Mus musculus: one gene and its partners. The protein of the gene in region 2 purifies or fractionates together with the protein of the main gene of each other region. This does not show direct contact. Links are inferred from orthologs where the notes say so. Each region holds a gene or a part of one and is shown on either strand. Other genes may lie near its edges. The genes, in order: Itgb1, Cd151 and Itga3.

Region 1 (3,645 bases), on a different chromosome or scaffold from region 2:
TGTAAAGACACCAGCATGTCCATGACAAACCTCTAACAGGTATGTCTAAGACCAACAAGTAGCACATTGCAGACGTGGGGGACATATATTAAAATCTACTCTAAGCCCTTGGTGATAGCCCACACACACATACATACATTCACATGTATGCATATAAATCTTCACAACACAAAATTAAGATGTAGTTAATAAAACTGGACCTATGTCACATTAAATTTGTAACATAAAAACCACAATAACTTAAGCAGTATTGGTATAATAATTCACCTTCCATTCTCCTGAAGCAAAAGATAGCAACTAGACTAGAGAATATTCCTCTATGGTAGAGTTCATTGTTTTATCTCTACCACTAAACCTTAAAAACAGAGGATAGTATTGCCAACTAACAGCAAACTTATACAGTGATTTCAGATTAAAAACAAACAACAACAAAAAAAATAGTACAACTCTCATGGCACACTTCATTGTTACACAATTAAGAATTTTTAGGACATAAAAAATGGTACATAAAAGGCAGCAAATATTCTCTTTGAAGTATACTCTATCAGCACTCTCCTCTGGCTCTAGTGGTGTAGGGTCAGTAAAGTGAATGTGACTATGTGAAACACTTTGGCAGTACTTACTTATGCTCTGCACAGACGCCAAGGCAGGTCTGACATGTCTCACAAGTTGGCCCTTGAAACTTGGGATCTGTGCACTTACAAGCACCACATTCACAAATACCCCGGCCATTGCAGATCTGACCATTTGACGCTAGACATGGACCAGTGTCCAAAGAACAGTCACATGCACTGCCAGTGTAATTGGGATAGCATTCACAAACACGACACCTGCACACGCCATTGCCTGCAACGAAAAAGATCATTTCTCAAAACAATGGTAAAATGTATAATCACAGCAATTATTCACAAATTAAAAACAAGCCACAACATAGAAGAAAGCCCCTCCCCTTCTGTGTGTTAACCCAGAGACTCTCAGATATCTGATCTCATTAGAGGAACTATGTGTGTAGCTACTGCTGGTGCTTACCCACCTCCACAAATTAAGCCATTAGACCTATCACAGTTGAAGTTATCACACTCGCAGAATTTTCCAGAGTAAATTTCATTTGTATTATCTCTCTTCCTACACACACACTGTCCACAGACACATTCTCCATTGTTACTGCAGATTTCCGAACTGTTCTCTTTCCTGCAGTAAGCGTCCATGTCTTCACTGTTCACTTCATCTGTGCTACATTCACAGTGCCTCCCAACACGCCCCTCATTGCACCTGCAGAAAGATCCAAACACAGTCACATAAAACAAAAAGTGTAACAATTTCCTCACATTAGCAAAGTATCAAGTAGGGATGCTCACTCCACATGTACAAACATAAGATAAGTCCACTGTGTTTATATATACACACATGCAAGTAGCAACTCAAGTTCTTATAGAACATACAGGAGCCTTGGGGAAAATTTACCTTTAGCAAGGAACCACTCTGAGCAAAATGAAAGCATACTCCAGCAACAAACAACAAAACAACTAGAAAAATAGAAAAATAGACCAGGCTAACTTTGACCACAGAGTCTGCCTGCCTCTAGTTCCCAAATGCAGGGGAATAAAGGAATGTATCAATTTGCAGGGCTAGATTCTCAAATATTTTCAATTATATTATTGTTACAGACTACCTGCCACTAAATTTGAAGCAAGGGTCTGTTAGGATAAAAAATAGCAATGAATGCAACCCCAAAAGTTGAAAAATACATAAAGTACACAAACTGAAAATAGTACTAGCTTTAACTAAGGGTAAGTTTACTGCACAGATCTAGACTTCTAAAATATCCTACATATCTTGGAGCATGTTCTTGGACACTGGATAAACTGATTTTGCATATGCTAATCAAAAAGAAGACAAAGAATTTTTAAAAAATCCTTTTTGATAAAATGCTGTTTAAACAAAAAGATATCTTAATGTCTCAAGTTAAATATAACAGAAAAAACACAATATTTAAATCATTGCTTAAAATGGGCAATTAATAGTAAACATTAGCTATTCATTTTTCTTTGGGCCAATAAACAAAACCACTGTGATGTGAGACTGACATTTAGATTAAAAGGTTCTATTACTTTAAAGAAAAGGCTGTATTACAAACACAGTTTAGTTTTTAACATAAAAAGTAGCCAAGAAGTCTGGTGAAGGTAAAGGTACTTGTCACCAAACCTGACAACCTTAGGATTCACAAGGTAGACAGAGAACCAACTCTTACAACTGTTCTCACCACAAGCCTGTGCCAAGACACTAGGGTATACACACACACTCACATACACACATATACATACATACATACATACATACATACATAAATGTAAACTTTAAGTACTATTTTATTTTTATCCCAGAAATACAAAATTTAATCCTGGACATGGTAAACATTTTTCTTGTTAACTAAGTCACAGATAAAACTGTCATTTAACACTGAGAGTATTGAGTTCTGCCTATAACCCAAGTACTGAGACAGTAAGATCATAAATTTAGGGTCATCCAAAATAAAACAAAATTTAAAAAGTCACTGTGATGGTTTGTATATCCTTGGACCAGGGAGTGGCACCATCTGAAGGTGTGGCCTTGTTGGAATAGGTGTGACCTGGTTGGAATGGGTGTGTCGCTGTGGGTGTGGATATAAGATCCTCACCCCAGTTGCCTGGAAGTCAGTCTTCCACTAGAAGCCTTTGGATGAAGACATAGAACTCTCAGCTCCTCCTGCGCCATGCCTGCCGGGATACTGCCATGCTCTCACCTTGATGATAATGGACAGAACTTCTGACTGAACCTGTAAGCCAGCCCCAATTAAATGTTGTTTTTATAAGACTTGCCTTGGTCATGGTGTCTATTCACAGCAGTAAAACCCTGACTAATACAGTCACCATTGACAGTTTGTACAAAAATGTTTCTATCTACCTTTTCTTTTCAATGTATTTTGCTGTCAAGAACTGGAAGTGCCATTCAGAGAACAAAGCCCAAATGCTGCCCTGAGAGACAGTGGACACACTGCTTACCTAGCTAAAAGCTTAAGAACAGAGAGATCCTTAAGAGTATATGAGTGACTGGAGCAAAGGATTTGTGTCTTTATTTTATACAGGCTTCCCAGATAAAGTGGCCTATACTGTCTGTTGTGCTGCAGCAAGGCTGCACTTACCTGCAGGCTCCACACTCAAATGTCCCATTTCCCTCATGGCACTTGGGACTGGCTGGGATGCCATGGCTTTGACAATTGCACTTACAGATGAACTGAAGAACGACCTCTACTTCTTCAGTGAAGCCCAGAGGTTTAATTTTAATGGTTTCAGACTCCTTATTTGGACATTTATTAGCAGTTATGCTAATTTCAAATTGAACCTTAAAGGAAAAAAGATTAATAAATTTAGCAATGAACATGAAAATATTTCAAATGCTAGTGCTTTAACTGCTAAGCCATCTCTCCAGCCCCACATTTTTATGCATGTTTTTCTTTTTCACAGAAAACGGTCATACAACATACCTCATCTCCAATAGAAATGTTGGAACACTTTCGTCCATTTTCTCCTGTCCCATTCACCCCATTCTTGCAATAGGATTTGTAATTTATTGTTACTCCGTCTGGCAATTTGCTATTTTCCAGAA
Region 2 (4,430 bases):
GGTTTCAAGTTTCCAGATAGTATTGGCTCCTACCCATGTTGCTGGAAGTCCTTATGTCTGCCCTATAGCCTTCATGCGGCTGGCTCTGTAGTCCTCTTGACTCAGGGAAGGCATCTCCCCCATGCACTTTTTCCTCTAGATCTTAGCCTCCTCGGTCTCCTACCTCTCTTTTCTAGGGAGCTGAATCTGAGGCTTCGAGATGAGAGAGATGCCTGTGAGACCAAGCTGCTGGGCAGTAGCCACAGGAAGGCTCTAGCTATTGCCCACAAGCCCGGACCCATCTACTGCTGCTGCTGCTGTGGCTGGGCTCGGCCCCCCAGACGAGGCTCTGGCCATCTTCCTAGTGCCCGATGACCAGCCCCGAGTGACTCACTTCCCTATCCAGAGGACTGCCCCTAGGAGGGACTGGTCTTGGTGGCGGATACTTGCTAAGTGTGTGGCTCTACCCAGAAGGCATCCCATGCCTGAAGGAGCTAACCTCAGAGTAGTCAAGGCCTTCAGTCCTTCAGTCTTTATCCTGTCTTCCTTTTTTTTGGGGGGGGGGGTTTCGAGACAGGGTTTCTCTGTGTAGCCCTGGCTGTCCTGGAACTCATTCTGTAGACCAGGCTGTCCTCGAACTCAGAAATCCGCCTGCCTCTGCCTCCCGAGTGCTGGGATTAAAGGCGCGTGTGCCACCACGCCCGGCTATCCTGTCTTCCTTAATCTTTGTCTGAAGGACCAATAAAGGCCATTGTATACTGTGTACTCCTTGGCTCTTGTGTGTTTGGGAGCCACGGTGCATTTGTGGTTCATGCTTGGTATCCATGGCACAAGGTGACATGGAGGGGTTTACAGGTGCACATTAACCCCTTCGTTCCTGCAGCTGGGGGTTCCTGTGTGCTTGTGTGTGTTCTGTGATTCTGGATATTCACCAAGCCCTCACCCATTCCTCCCAGCTGAAGCTCCCAGGACTCAGGTTTCAACAGGTGTCCGCTCCCACGCTAGTCCACACGTGGAAGGTCCCGCTCCTCACCTCCGTGGTCAGCTAGCTTTCTGGTCCAGGTCCTTTATCCATCATCCTTTGGCACAGTTCCTAGCCAGACCATATGCCACCCACACTGGGCACCTCTCGCAGGGCCCTCATGTCTCTATGGAATCTTCTGGCACCCTCCACACTGTATCTGGAGTTTCCCCTCTAGCATTTCTTCAGCCGCTAGAACCTGCAGCTTTAGAGTGGTTCTCCCGGCTTAGACTAGAGAAACTGGTCTTGACCTCAGTTCTGGACCTCTGGTGGGCTAGGTGCCACCTTCCCCACCTCTTCGCTCCCCACCTGGGTTCTACCTCTGGTCTAGCTCCTCTGTCTCTGGGCGAGTTGGGGCTTTTGATGACAAACGGGGCACCTTTAAACTAACTTTACAGACCCACAGGTCTCTCTGGCGCGCGCCTTAGCACCAAACCAGTTAGGACTTGCCTGCCCAGGCCGGCCGTGGGCGGGGCTGCGCCCGGGGCGGGGTCGCGCGCAGGGCGTGTCCTCGCAGGCCCCGGGCCGAGCGTTCTCTGTACTCCGAGTGATCGCTCCTACCGTGGCTGCCGGGGCTGGTATTTCAAAGCGTGGTTGGTGAGTGCTCCGTGAAGCATAGCCGGAGGGTGTGGGGAGCAGTGTCCTGAGTTCCTCGCTCACTGGTGTTCCTAGTCTCCAAGCTGGCCTCAGGGACGCCCAGGAGGCAGAGCCTGAGGTAGGACAGGGTTGCAGACTCCTTTCCGGAAGATCGACGCCGGGGCCGGGCAGTTAGAAGGCCGGAGGGGGAGGGGTGAGGGAGAGAGCTTCTGTGGTTCTTGAGCAGGCCTGACGGTCTCTTTCGTGCAGAAACCCAGAAATTTAAAAGTCTGACCACCCTATTCATTGTCCCTGGACACCGGTTCCCTCCCCTGAGACCGCAGGTCCGCCCACTGGCACGGGGCGGGGGAGGGCGGCAGGGGCGGTGGTGACTTCATCTCTGTGACGCGGGGATTCCTCGCCCAGCCCACTTCAGTGTTTAATCGGGTCGGTGGGGCGGGTGCCGAAGGCCCAGGACAGGTCCAGGAGCTAAGTGTAGGGCGGTTGTGTCCAGGCCGCAGGAGCTATTTCTGGCTGGTCCAGGCTCTCACACCGGCACTTTCACAGAGAATTTACATCCAGTCTGCTGATTGTCTCTTGGCTTAGGTTGATGGATGTGTCTAAAAGCCCATAGATTCTGGGCTTTTAGAGCCTGGCCCCGGGGGTTTGCATTGTGGCCAGGCTTCTTTATGTCATTGCCCGCTTTCAGTGAGGCAGCATGCATTTTTGGGTCCCATCTCCAAATAGAGCTCTGAAATCTCTCCCACTTTCCAAAATGGACAGTCGATGCATCCTCCTTCAGTTTGCGGTCGCTGCTGTTTGGTGGGGGAGGGACTGTGATGGATGGGACTGGAAGGTGGGGCACTTGGAGAAGGCATTTGGTCCCTCCCTAGATCAGGCAGGTCAGCCATGTTCTTTGGCCTGCCGCCGTCCAGTAGAAAACAGCAGGCCTGCCTGTTATGCTTCCTTGCAGATCTGGTGGCTCTGAGAACCATTTTGACCACTGCTTAAGCTTCTGTAGTTGGAGTGGCAAGATCCCACCTGCTAGGTGAAGGGCAGAGAGTGACTTTTGACCTGTACCTGCTGGTCCTGACTTGAGAGGTGAGAGCTGGTGCCTGGGCAGAGCCTCAAGGCCCCTGGCTAACAGTTCTGCTTAGGTGTGTGTCTGGGAATCTGACCTGCGTCAGCCGAGGTCTGTACACTGTCCTCAGTCAGACAATAGTGTGTCTAGGGCAGGGTGTGACTAGGGGACTCCTGGAGGAGTGGCACATTCACATATGTGGAACTGGGACCTCCCCCTACAGTCGGGAGGAGAGCTGGTTGTACAGGCTCCACCTACCGGCATCTTATTGTCTCTGCCCTGGCTGGTAGTAGAGTCAGCTCAGAGTCCTCACAAACTGTCCCTTAGGGTGGCCTGAGCTCTCTGCCATATCTGGGAACGGGTATGAGTGGTAAGTACCTAGCAGCCTGATTGTGGGACTCAGGGAATGCTTGGGGGTGCCGATCAACAGGAATGTACCCTGAAGGTCTGCTGGTGCTTCCCCCCCTGTTGCCAGCAGGAGTGAGTCAGCAGATGTTGGGGGGTCCTCCATGATAACCCACCATGTGTCTGGCTGTGAGGAGGTTAGTTCAGGAAGTGACTCATAAGGTTCCTGGGAATGCTCCTCTGAGGGCAGATAGCTGGCTGAGCTCCAAACTGCAATCATCCGGGGACTGCTGGATCTCCTCCTGTCTCCGTTGGTAGATAGCTTTCTTCCTACTTGGAGGCCTGGTGCTTCAGGCCATCTGACCTCCTCCCCGTTCCTCTAGGCCCAGGATGGGTGAATTCAATGAGAAGAAGGCAACATGTGGCACAGTCTGCCTCAAGTACCTGCTCTTTACCTACAACTGCTGCTTCTGGGTGAGAAGAGCTAATTTCTCCCTGCATCCCTAGTCCCCATGTTGGAGGCCTGGCCTGGGGGGCTCAGTCCCAGCTTCCAGACCCAGGCCAGATGTGGTGACCAGTATATACTTTCTGCAGCTGGCCGGCCTGGCTGTCATGGCAGTGGGCATCTGGACACTGGCCCTCAAGAGTGACTACATTAGTCTGCTGGCCTCAAGCACTTACCTAGCCACGGCCTACATCTTAGTGGTGGCTGGTGTTGTTGTCATGGTGACTGGAGTCCTGGGCTGCTGTGCCACTTTCAAGGAGCGACGGAACCTGTTACGCTTGGTCAGTGGGGCATGGTGGCACACGGTGGGGCTAGGGGTGCCTTGCATGGATTTCTCAGGGGGCCTCTGGTACTGGTTCTGGGGACTTAACTGGTTGAGTGTATTACTGCAGGCTGTCCCTGTTGGGGCAGACACGAGCTTCAGAACTATGAAGGAGCTAGGCAGCCCCAGAGTGTAGCTCCTAACTGAATTCCTCTTGCTTGGCCTCCTGGGTTGGGGGCTTGGCTTTGTGGTACTCTGGCACTAGCAACCCCCCACTTACTGGGTCCCTGCTCCCTAGTACTTCATCCTGCTCCTCATCATCTTCCTCCTGGAGATCATTGCTGGCATCCTGGCCTATGTCTATTATCAGCAGGTAAGGGCCTGGACAGGCCATGGGGTGTGCCTAGAACATGGCCCTGTCAGTCCCATTGGAGGTCCTGGCTCCAGCTTTGCCTTTGCCCAGAGTTTGATCCTACCCACAGCTGAACACAGAGCTCAAGGAGAATCTGAAGGACACCATGGTCAAGAGATACCACCAGTCAGGCCACGAGGGTGTGAGCAGCGCTGTCGACAAGCTGCAGCAAGAGGTGGGTGCCCCTAGAACTGCCCGCCCTCTCGGCATGGTGCCGTGTGCCGGCAAGCGCTGAGGCTCAGCCATGTG
Region 3 (3,645 bases), on a different chromosome or scaffold from region 2:
CTCTGTATAGCCCTGGCTGACCTGGAACTCCCTATGTAGACCAGGCTGGCCTTGAACTCAGAGATCTACCTGCCTCTGTGCTACTACCACCCGGCTAAGCTAACACTTCCTGAGCACTTCCTTATACACCAAGCACAAGCTCTTCTCTCATAGCAACTTTCAAATTTTTTTAATCTTATTTTTTGTGTAGAGGTATTCTGCCTGAATGCATGTCTGTGTACCATGTATGTGCTTGGCACCTGCAGAGGGCAGAAGAGAGGGCATCAGATTCCGGGGAACTGGAGTCAAATCCAGCATTGGGAGGCAGAGGCAGGCAGATCTCTGGATTTGAAGCTAGCCTGGTCTACACAGTGAGTTCCAGGCAACCGTGGCTACACAGAAAGTGCTGTGAATTAGCCTCTGGGCTATACAGTATCTAGAAACAGGGGGTGTTCTTGTTTAGTGACTTTTTCTGTTACATCCCAGCTGTAAACACCACCAGCATTTCACATGAGCTTATCCTTAGGCACTGCTAAATCTCTGGTGCTTAGCTAAATATTTGTTGACCGAGTAAGGGTGGGTAAGGAGCTAATCCTAGCGTCTTCAACCACTTAAACAAACTTCGAGACACACACCCACAAACAACAGGGGGTACAGAAGGGTGGTCTCATGAACTGACTGACAGCCCAAAGCTTACAATAGCGTTCTCGGGACAGAAATCACAGTAGTGATGATTATAGGAGTGGCGACCACTCGGAGGTGGCTCAGAGAACTTTCTGGGGTGATGTAAGTATGCTCTGTTTCATGGGTGTTACTGACATAGGCTTATCATTGGTCAGAGCTCATAGAAAATCTGCCCTTTTCACTATAGGTAAATTTTATATAAACTTAAATAATGTCTATCCGGGACACAGAAATTGAGATTCCCAAGGGCTGATATTGAAGAACTGTCAGCAGCAGAAGGTGACAATTGACAGCAGGGAGTGGCACTCAAATCAGTGCCAGGGTGAGCCAGGGCCATCAGGGCTGTGCCTCTTCCGGCAGCCAGCCTCCCAGGAAGGAACGCCTGCCAGCGCCCAACTGCCTGAGGCACTCTCTGCCCTTTCTCCCTCCAAGTTCTCTCTGCTCTTTCCCACGGATGGTGAGCATCCATGCAGGTCGCCCAGGACCCACGCCATGTCCAGCCTCGGGAGAGTACCAGACAACCCTCTCCCCAGAGTTCAGGGATCAGAGAACCCACAGGCCTGTAAAGATACGAGGCCTGGGGCTGGAGAGGTGGCTCAGCGGTTAAGAGCACCAACTGCTCTTCTAAAGGTCCTGAGTTCAAATCCCAGCAACCACATGGTGGCTCACAACCATCCGTAATGAGATCTGACGCCCTCTTCTGGTGCGTTTGAAGACAGCTATAGTGTACTTACATAGAATAAGTAAATAAATAAATCTGTTTAAAAAAACAGAAGTGGACATTTGCAAAGGCCCCAGTCATCAGTGGATCCCCGCCCGACCACTTCTGCCGTCCTCCCTGGCTCGGGGGAGATGATATTAAGCCTTCACTTACCAGGACTCTACCTGCAGGGCCCTGGCTGGCCACAGTCACTCCAAGCCACATATCCTCAATAATGTGATGGTCAGGGTCACCTGTAAGAATGGGAGAGATCACGAGCTCCGGTCCCTTACCCCCTTACTCCATACTCCAGCATCCAAAGCCTCCTGAGGGCAGCAGCTCTCTGTCCTGTCTGTCACTGCTCTGAGCTCACACTGTATATGATCTTCCCTTTTTCCTGTTCCTCTTCCCAGACGGATGAGAAAGAAATCAGCGCTGCTTTTTTGTTTTGTTTTGTTTTGCTTTTTGAGCCAGGATCTCCATTTTACATCTCAAGCTATTCTGCAACCCACTATGTAGCCCATAGTAGATCTAGCCTTGATCTCGCTGTCTTTTCCCCTTAGCTTCAAATGTTGCCTCCCTAACAAGCTAACCTCGTATCTCCCCTTTGGGCCCCCTCTGCCAGGCTCCCGACTTAGCTCTGCCCTCAGGCTCGTCTCACTTTTCTCTGAAATGTCCATCCGTTCACAGTCGTCCTTGTGGGCCGTGAGGGGACACAGGTACACAGCACCAGTCCGGTTGGTATAGTCATCACCCACAGCGAGGTCCCGGGGAGCCCCGGCCAGAAGGCTGGAAAAGGAAGGCGGGTGGGTCAGCCTGGCTTTGCAAGCCTCCCTCCAGTCAGCCTGCAAATCCACACTCTCTGAACATGGGCTCCATACCAATGTCTGGAGATAGGACATCGATAAACCTTGCCTCTGTCTTCCAGGAGGGCCGACCACAGAGGAAAGTGGGCCAGGAAGCTCACACGCCGTAAGGATCTCACAGGGAAAGCATGGAGGTCTGTACACAAGGTGCCCTGGCCTCAGAGTAAGGACAATAGCCAGGGGTCACCCAATGATAAAGGGAGGAAGGACAGCAGAGACAGGGGTACAATATGTACAGGGGCCAGGAAGCATGAGCAAGCCAGTGATTCAGGCACCAGCCCTCTGGACAACGGGAACCCAGAAAGAATATTGGGGGAGGCATACAAGCCAGGACAAAGACCTTAGAGGAACCACAGAAGGGACCCCGGGCAAGGCAGCGACTTGGTTTTCTTTATTTCATTCTCTTTTTGAGACAGGGCCTCATGTAGCCCAGGCTAGGATACTCCCTATTCAACCAAAGACGACCTGGGACTTCTGACCCTCCTGTTTCCACCTTTCATGTGTTGGATTTTCAGGTATGTACCGCCCTGCCCGGATTTAGGTAGTGCTAGGAATTTAATCCAGAGCTTCCAGAAAAAGTACCAGATAGGCACTCTGCCAGATGAGGTTACGTTCCCAGCCCCAGCTGTGGGTTCTTAAAGGGATTCTTTGGCCTCAGAAGTAAAGGTAGTTGTGAAGGAATGAGAGTTATGAGTTCCAGGCCTGGGGGTATCAGAGAAGGCAGAAGAGAGAAGCTGTGTAAGGATGGATGGGTTGTTGGAAGCCTGGATCTCTCCTCTTGAGACTCTCAAGCACATAGCTCTGCGAGGCAGAGATTTCCAGGTGAGCTGAGTGAGGCCTCCACGCGCCCCACCCCCACCTGGAGACAGGCACACCGGTATGGGGTGGGGCTGGATACCAGTGTGGCCCAAGAACAGGGTTCTAGTGGTAGGAGTGGACAAGAGCTATCTGTCACCTTGTCCTCAGAATCTACCTTTAGGGACACCAAGAAATTCCCACAAGGGGGCTAGGACCCTAGAGTCCCATCCCACACCAAAAGGGTGACTTAGGCCGGGCAGACAGGGGATCGGTCCTGAAATCCTATCTCAGACAATCCCTGGGTATTTATAAAGGAAAATTTCTAACTACCACAGGCTATATGAATAGTATCTGGGGCAGTCAGCCCAGCTTCAGACCCAAGTTTTTCCTTCTATCTTCTCCCTATCAATATTCTTCTTAGAACATGCCCTCTGCCACCTTCCTGCCAACTCAGCTTTCTGGATAGCAGCACTTCCCAAGTTTGTCCCAGCAACACTGTGGCCCCGAGGCTCCCAGGCTCCAGGCCTCTGGCCAGTATGGAACTGCTGAGCAATGGCTGTACCTACAGCTCTGCTTTGGACCTGAGAGTGAGGCCTACAGGGAGTAGGCAGGGCAGGG

The links.
Region 1: the proteins of Cd151 (region 2) and Itgb1 purify together in Homo sapiens (affinity purification with western blotting; 4 studies listed by BioGRID and IntAct, with this or other methods). This does not show direct contact. The link is inferred for Mus musculus from reciprocal best matches to the Homo sapiens genes CD151 and ITGB1.
Region 3: the proteins of Cd151 (region 2) and Itga3 purify together in Homo sapiens (co-immunoprecipitation; 4 studies listed by BioGRID and IntAct, with this or other methods). This does not show direct contact. The link is inferred for Mus musculus from reciprocal best matches to the Homo sapiens genes CD151 and ITGA3.

The regions. Positions count from the first base shown.
Region 1 is NC_000074.6:128,720,011-128,723,655, reverse strand, and holds part of Itgb1 (integrin beta-1 precursor), read right to left. Parts: coding exon 3,524-3,645; intron 3,382-3,523; coding exon 3,182-3,381; intron 1,273-3,181; coding exon 1,034-1,272; intron 847-1,033; coding exon 624-846; intron 1-623.
Region 2 is NC_000073.6:141,465,870-141,470,299, forward strand, and holds the start of Cd151 (CD151 antigen), read left to right. Parts: upstream 1-1,492; 5' UTR 1,493-1,597; exon of another isoform or gene 1,598-1,902; intron 1,903-2,549; 5' UTR 2,550-2,677; intron 2,678-2,919; exon of another isoform or gene 2,920-3,027; intron 3,028-3,385; 5' UTR 3,386-3,392; coding exon 3,393-3,476; intron 3,477-3,596; coding exon 3,597-3,788; intron 3,789-4,067; coding exon 4,068-4,142; intron 4,143-4,251; coding exon 4,252-4,356; intron 4,357-4,430. Other genes in the region: Cracr2b (EF-hand calcium-binding domain-containing protein 4A), read left to right, coding at 177-354. UniProt on the Homo sapiens protein: Structural component of specialized membrane microdomains known as tetraspanin-enriched microdomains (TERMs), which act as platforms for receptor clustering and signaling.
Region 3 is NC_000077.6:95,066,688-95,070,332, forward strand, and holds part of Itga3 (integrin alpha-3 isoform 1 preproprotein), read right to left. Parts: intron 2,512-3,645; exon of another isoform or gene 2,266-2,511; coding exon of another isoform or gene 2,153-2,265; coding exon 2,025-2,152; intron 1,618-2,024; coding exon 1,538-1,617; intron 1-1,537.